Cricetulus griseus: one gene and its partner. The protein of the gene in region 1 interacts with the protein of each later gene in a biochemical or structural test. Links are inferred from orthologs where the notes say so. Each region holds a gene or a part of one and is shown in the gene's direction. Other genes may lie near its edges.

Region 1 (3,500 bases):
ACTCTCCGAGCCCTTCTGACTCACCCAGCAGCACTGGTTCCCTCCTGGGGATCCCACAGCCTCTTGTACATCTCTCAACCTCACTTCCTATAAAACGGTATGGCAATTTTCTGTGTAAGTATCTCAGATTCCCTCTTTACTGAAAGTTCTCAAATGGCAGGGAGTTTGTCAGTCACCTTTTTGTCCCCAGTGCCTGACACAAAGGGAGTCCTCTGCAAGAGTTTACAGAGTAAGAATGAATGTTTGAAGATTACTAAAGCACAACTCAGAGAGGAAAAGGGGGTTCTAATAAGTATGTAGGGAACATGGAACAGGCATGGGACAAAAAAGTGGGAGACTAGTTCCAAATGTGGTGCTTTCCAAAGCAGTGGCAATCAAGCTGATTCTTGGTAGATGAGGGATTTATAGGCATTTACCAGATTTAAGAAATGTTTGCTTTGGGGGGTGGAAGTAGGGGGTTTATGAGAGAATATTCATTCCAAGGATGAGAAATCAGCTTAAGAAGGGAGTCACAAGTGTTCATGATGCATTCAAGAAACTGAGTCATCAAGTGGCTTGAGTAAGTGCAGCTCTGAGAGGAGGTGCAGTCCTGAAGGAGGGGTTGTAGATAGTACAGAGTAATGAATGGCTTTTCTCTTTTTTTAGTTGAGGAAGGGCTGTTTTGGTTTTGTTTTCTGTTTGTTTAGAGAACACAGACATGATCCAACATGGTTCTAAGGGGAATGGCTGGTCAAGGGTACATGAAAGTATGATGGAATGGGCAGAGAAGGACCTTTCAATCTGGTATCTACAGATTAGTGATCTTGAGAAGTAGCCAACCAGTGATAGGGATAGGTCCTTAAAGTGTTTGCAAAGAAGAGCAATTATGGAGCCAACCATAAGGAGAGACAGGATTCTAAGAAATAGTAGTGTTGGGCCAACTCAGTTAAGCATTTATGATGGTAAGGCATTTACTGTCATCATTTACTACATAGCCTCTTAGGGTTAACAAGAGTGTTCTCAGGGTGCCAGGATCTAACCAGATATTATGGCTTGGGAATGAGGTGGAATTGGGGATCTGGATGAATGGTGCTCAAATCCTCCTACAACCAGCTTTCTCTCTTTTCTGCCTAGAATTGGAGCTGGCCATTAGAGTCACTCTTTATGCTGTGATCTTTCTGACGAGTGTCGGAGGAAATGTGCTCATCATTGTGGTCCTGGGACTGAGCCGGCGCCTGAGAACTGTCACCAATGCCTTCCTGCTCTCCCTGGCAGTCAGTGACCTCTTGCTGGCTGTGGCTTGCATGCCCTTCACACTCCTGCCCAACCTCATGGGCACATTCATCTTCGGCACAGTCATTTGCAAGGCGGTTTCCTACCTCATGGGTAGGTGAGATAAACACATTTCCCTCTTAGTCCTCTCCCTTCTTAAAGTACTTGACAAATACAAAAGTTTTCCCTGATGGGGGTGGAGGAAATCATACTGGTGAGCATGTAGGATGTTTGTTTCCAAGGTGACCATTTCTTCTCACCTTGCTTAGGAGTGTCAGTGAGTGTGTCCACGCTAAATCTCGTGGCCATAGCCCTGGAGCGGTACAGCGCCATCTGCAGACCACTGCAAGCACGAGTGTGGCAGACACGCTCCCATGCAGCGCGGGTGATATTAGCCACGTGGCTTCTGTCAGGATTGCTTATGGTACCTTATCCTGTGTACACCGCCGTGCATCCAGTGGGGCCTCGAGTGCTGCAATGCGTGCATCACTGGCCCAGCGCGCGTGTCCGCCAAACCTGGTGAGGGCACCCACCAGCCTATCTTAGGAGGCCCTTTTCCCATCTTCATCAGATGCTTACACTCCTTCCCCAGAGCAGTCCCCCAGCTCCTCCAAGAATTTTCCCACTAAGCCCCATTCTGCACCCCCACATTTGGGATTCCAATTTGGGGCCCCTTGCCAGCGTCACCTCCCAACACTACCTCTGCCTCGGCCACCCGGACACAGTCCAGTTTTTGGCTCTTCCTCTACCTGTAACTGGCTGCACAGGAGATTGTGATTGCTCTGTGTTATGTCTCCAGGTCAGTACTGCTCCTGTTGTTCCTTTTCTTCATCCCGGGAGTGGTTATGGCTGTGGCCTATGGGCTCATTTCTCGCGAGCTCTACCTTGGGCTTCGCTTTGATGGTGATGATAGTGACACCCAAAGCCGGGTCCGAAACCAAGGAGGCCTGCCCGGTGGGGCAGCACCAGGTGGGTGAAATGCATGACGGTGGGGCTTTGGTGATGGACATAATCTCCTTAGTGGGTGGATCTGAAAGAAGTGTAGAAAGGAGGCAGGAGCCCAGGGTAAAAGCTGTGGGGAAGGGGCGTCGAGTAAAAGTTGGACTGAGATTGGCATCTGCCTTCTGCTTTGATCGTACCCTTTGTGTTCTGTGCTCAGGGCCTGTCCACCAGAATGGGGCTTGCCGGCCTGAGACTACCCAGGCTGGGGAAGACAGTGATGGTTGCTACGTGCAACTTCCGCGTTCCAGACTGGAGATGACAGCTCTGACCACGCCCACTCCTGGGCCAGGCCCGGGCTCTCGACCCATCCAGGCCAAGCTGCTGGCTAAGAAAAGAGTGGTGCGAATGCTGCTGGTGATTGTTGTGCTTTTCTTCCTGTGTTGGCTGCCAGTGTACAGTGCCAACACGTGGCGTGCCTTCGATGGCCCAGGGGCACACCGAGCACTCTCAGGGGCCCCTATCTCTTTCATTCACTTGCTGAGTTACGCTTCTGCCTGTGTCAACCCCCTGGTCTACTGTTTCATGCACCGCCGCTTTCGCCAGGCCTGCCTGGACACATGTGCACGCTGTTGTCCACGGCCTCCACGAGCTCATCCCCGGCCTCTTCCGGATGAGGATCCTCCTACTCCCTCCATTGCTTCACTGTCCAGGCTAAGCTATACCACCATCAGCACACTGGGACCTGGCTGAAGGGTTGAGTGTGTGGAGGGTGAGACAAGACACATGATCCCTATAAACTGACCCATCCAAAATCATGAAACACACCAGGACTAATCCAGGTGGACATCCAACAGCATGGAGAGACCCCTACACACAGAAAATGCTCTTTGCTGCTCCACCTGAAACAGATAGTCTTGCACAGGAAAGAAGGCACACTTTTGATATGGGACTGAGTCCCACCCTAGGCACGTGGCACTGACCCCACTGGATAGACAACCGACAATGTCTGCAGCAGTGAATTTCTTCACACATGGGAGCTCTGACAAGGGCTGACTGGCTCCTCAAATGTATACATTAATGGCACTATTCTGTAGTGCCCATAGCCTAGTGTAAGACTGACTTAGGACATTGCAGACTGTCCCCATTTTGACCTCATCATTCCCTTCCTCACCCAGCATTGAAAATATCAATAGGATTAATCACATACCTTCCCAACGTGCAGACCTTTCAGCAATGAAAAGCCCCCTCATCCTTCTCCATTAGGGACTCTGGCCCTGCCCCTCTTCCTTCACCAGACCACCTCATAA
Region 2 (4,220 bases), on another chromosome or scaffold:
CTGGACAGGTGGGAAGGAAGCTCTCTAGGTAAAGAGGAGATGCCATACGAGGTACCCCGCCTGGGAGGGGCTGTCCTCGTTCACTGAGCCCTTTCCCTTTTCTCCAGGGCCACTTCAATCGGTGGTCGCGCCAGTGGCCGCCTTCTGAGCAAGCGTCCTGCCGGACTGCGTCAGCACTGGGTAAACAGATGACTGGCTGCGCGCCGGGCGGGGCTATTTAAGAGGCAGCCGCCCTCCAGTCTGCCCTGAACTTGGCTGGACTGCAGCCTGCTCTGCTGGAATCCGCCAAGCCAGCTGATCCCCCGTCAAAGGTAAGTCGGTGTCTGTGCTGGCCCATCCAAGAATTACGGGTGTGAAGAATACTGGCCCGTAGCTTTGCGTCCTGGCCGTATCATCTTTCTGTTTTCTGTGCCTTCCCTCCTTTGACAGCTGGGAAGATTTCCTGAAGTCAGAAATAATGGCTCTGGATTTTAAGATGCGCCTGGGTGGGTACTGCTGCGTGGAGACTTTATTCCTCTGTGTGCTGTCTAATGGCAAGGCTGGGATAGCCATTTCTTAGGGTTCCCACGATGTTCGGATCACTTTGCAATCATTTAAAAGGGAATGCCAAGAGGTTTTAAGACACATTCATTTTCTAAATGATGCAGGAAAAAAAACTAAGGCTTTGTGGCTAGAAAGACATCGTTAGGACGGTGCAGGTCCCATCAGGTCAGTTCTAGGTCGGTTTGCAAATGTGGTGGGGCTTTGGCCACAACTCAGGACTGGGCACAGAGTTCTGGGTTTTCTTTTGCATAGTGACTTCTTGTTCGTCCCCATAGAAACACCGAGGAACCTCTATAAACACAGCTTCTATTTATGCACCCATACTTTAAACCGCTTCCCATTGTCGTCCCATTCATTTCTGTAGAGACGGCTTTTAACCTGCATTTCTCTGCATTCTGCCTCTCTGTCTCTGTCTCTGTCTCTGTCTGTCTGTCTCTCTCTGTCTCTCTCTGTCTCTCTGTCTCTCTCTGTCTCTCTCTCTCTCTCGTGTGTGTGTGTGTGTGTGTGTGTGTGTGTGTGTGTGTGTGACCCACTCACCCACTCTGTGTTTTCTGGTTAGAAGAGAGATGGGCTATAAAGGTGCCCTCTAACTTCAGGAAAGCAGGAGGCACTGCTTCTGAACCTGGAAGTAAATGGGGTCTGTGCGGGATTCCCGGGCCCTGGGTGTGGATAACACAAAAGCCAGGCAGAAGTGTCCCCAGGCGCGCGGTGGCCAGGGCGCAGCCAAGGACTGGACTTGACTAGTTCTAGGGCATGAGCCAGGCTGGCGGCCACAGCCCCGCGTTCAGCCTCGGCGGACTTCGTGTGCGGGACTTTTGGCTGCAGCCCGCCGAGCTCAGCCCTTGGTTCATGACCCTCGCCTCCGCTCCCCACAGCCATGAAGAGCAGCGTGTGTCTGTGCGTCCTGATGGCAGTCCTGGCTGCAGGCGCCCTGGCGCAGCCAGTGGCACCAGCAGAAGCCGCGGAGTCGGCGGTGCAGCGGGCAGAGGAGGCCCCCCGAAGGCAGCTGAGGGCGGTGCTCAGGACCGACGGCGAGCCCCGAGCGCGCCTGGGCGCACTGCTCGCACGATACATTCAGCAGGCACGCAAAGGTAAGGATGTCCGCTCTGCCTCACGCGGCGGCTGCTGCTGCGGTCTGGGTTCCCATTCCTGATCTCCAAAGCACCTGCAGGGAAGAGGAGGAAACCAGAGCACACGAGGAGCAAGATTCTCTCTTTCCTTCCCTGAGGTACTCTGCACCGCACTGTGGCATCAGCAGGTGGTGTTCTCAGCACCCAAGAGGGGAGATGGGTGGAGGGCTTACCGCGTGGGTAAGAGGAGCGGGCTAACCCTTCTCGGAACTGACTTCGGCACTGTATTAGGGTTGAAGTCCAACACCGCTTTAGGAAAACACACACACACACACACACACACACACACACACACACACACACACACACACACACACACACACACAAAGTGCTGGTAAGAGTCTCCAGATCCGCCCTCTCCTCTGTGCTGTATATACAGCAGGACTGGGGACCACCCAGACACTGACCCTCGGGACCCCTCTGGCGTGAAATAGGTCAGTGCTGAGAAAACCTGAGACTTGAGACACGTAGCTGGCACTGTGTACATGTCCCCCTGTATGGCGCAGGAGGTAAGGGTCAAAGAGCAGCTGGAGTTCCCTTGACTGCCCAGTCAGGATGGCCACAGAGTGAAAGCTGTGTCTTACGTTTCTATAGCTGTCAGAAAGGTGGCCACCATGCTGACCACCTCAGGGATCTTCTCAATATTGGAAGCCGCCCCCCCCCCACGATCCCCGTGGGCTATTCAGCAGCTTGCCAGTTGAGGGTTCCTCTCCTGTACCCAAATCTCTCATCTTCAGAGAGGCGATGGGGACAGCGCAGACCAGATCCTCTCCCAGCTCGGGAGTCATGGCTGCCACCAAGACAGCTTTCATCTGACTTTATCAGCAGGGACATGGATGGTGACTTCTGGCTGGGGTGTGTTAAACTGGACCAGTAGAGTGAGATTTAACTTTCGAAGGTGGGCCCTTTGTTCTGTGGAGCTCATTTACTCAACGTGTCCTGTCTGATTTGAACAGCCCAGGGCATTGGGCTTGACTAGTGAGGGGGAACTGGGGAACTTGGTTGAGTTTCCTAGAGTCCCCCATGAAGATGCGACCAGGGGACTTCAGGGGAATCAAGAGATTTCTTATGTTTCTTCCTGTTTGGGAACTCACCCCACAGCCATCCCTTTCTAGGTTGTTTTCCTGCTAATTCAATGGAGGGAGGGAGAGATGAGAGAGAGAGAGAGAGAGAGAGAGAGAGAGAGAGAGAGAGAGAGAGAGAGAGAGAGAGAGAGAAATGCATACATACACACATACAGACACATACATACATACATACATACATACATACATACATACATACATGCACACACACACATACACACATACACACCAGGTAATAAGAAAACCTGGGAACGTGGGATGCCCCCTCCCCATTCCTTCTGATGTGGGCCAGCAGACCCTTCTGAAGTATTTTAGACTTTTCTAGACTCTTCAGTGAGCTGTCAGTCTATAGAACCTTTGGCCTGAGTTTGGGAATGCCCGAGCAGTTCTAGCAACAGAAAGCCTGGTTGCTGAATTATTGCCTAGAACCAACACATGACAGTGGTTTTCCCAGCAGCTGGAAGCCACTCCGAGCTCTCTTCTCAGACCCTGTCTCCCCTCAGCCTGTTGGACCCACTGAGCCCAGAAAGGAGTAGCCTTCATTTGAAAGTTGGTTTGCTCACACCCAGGGTCAGGGCTAAGTATAGAAGAGTGATGCCCACTTTTTGACAAAATATAAACTCAGGATCAATATTGTCAATACTGCACAATTTCTCTGAATATTTTATAAATGATTTTTTATTCAACTATAATACATACTATTCTTAAAGACTCTAGACGAGATACTTTTTTGAGTGATTGGGGCTTGGCTTTAGCTGGTAGACTGGCCTAGAATGCACAAAATCCTGAGTTCAACTCTCACACCACATGACACCCAGCCTGTAATCCTAGCATCGGGAGGTGGGGGTGGGTGGACCAGTTCAAAGCTAGCCTCTGCTGTGCAGCAAGTTTGAGGCCAGCTTGGGCTATGTAAGATCTCATATTTAAAAACAAAAAGTAAAATATGAAATAAAACCAAGCTTATCTTTAGAGCTTGTCTGCAGAGCCCTCAGTGGTCCCAGAGGAAGCCTATTCATTCCTGTGGAAGGTGGGGAGGCACTGGTGGTCCAGAGGGAAGTGTGTTCCCGTGGGAGGTGGGGAGGCATTGGTGGTCCAGGGGGAAGTGTGTTCCCGTGGGAGGTGGGGAGGCATCAATGGCACTAGCATCCAATGCTCTCTCCATGCATCTCTCTCAAGCCTTAAAACCTTTCTTCACATGAGCATCTATCTCACTGTCTTTCACTTATGAAGCCTGTGCTAAAGAAGGCAAATGCCATCTGTGCACACATTGGTGCATCTAGGAGGCAGCAGGAGTCTATACAGGTTTGACTTACGCCGCGGCCTGGAGGCCATACGGTTCCCAGCTCACCTGCTGCAGGAGTCAGATCACTTTGTCTCAGACCACTCTAAGCCCCTTCGCTGTGTAGTGCTGGCGATGGATGGAGGGTGATAACAACATGCCTGAGGACAGATCTGTGTAGGA

What was found.
Region 2: the proteins of Cckbr (region 1) and Cck form a complex in vitro, tested with the Homo sapiens proteins (3 studies listed by BioGRID). The link is inferred for Cricetulus griseus from reciprocal best matches to the Homo sapiens genes CCKBR and CCK.

Annotation. Positions count from the first base shown.
Region 1 is NC_048596.1:94,266,956-94,270,455, reverse strand, and holds part of Cckbr (gastrin/cholecystokinin type B receptor), read left to right. Parts: intron 1-1,113; coding exon 1,114-1,365; intron 1,366-1,520; coding exon 1,521-1,770; intron 1,771-2,050; coding exon 2,051-2,220; intron 2,221-2,272; coding exon 2,273-2,943; 3' UTR 2,944-3,500. UniProt on the Homo sapiens protein: Receptor for gastrin and cholecystokinin. The CCK-B receptors occur throughout the central nervous system where they modulate anxiety, analgesia, arousal, and neuroleptic activity.
Region 2 is NC_048597.1:228,506,700-228,510,919, reverse strand, and holds the start of Cck (cholecystokinin), read left to right. Parts: upstream 1-1,420; coding exon 1,421-1,634; intron 1,635-4,220. UniProt on the Homo sapiens protein: This peptide hormone induces gall bladder contraction and the release of pancreatic enzymes in the gut. Its function in the brain is not clear.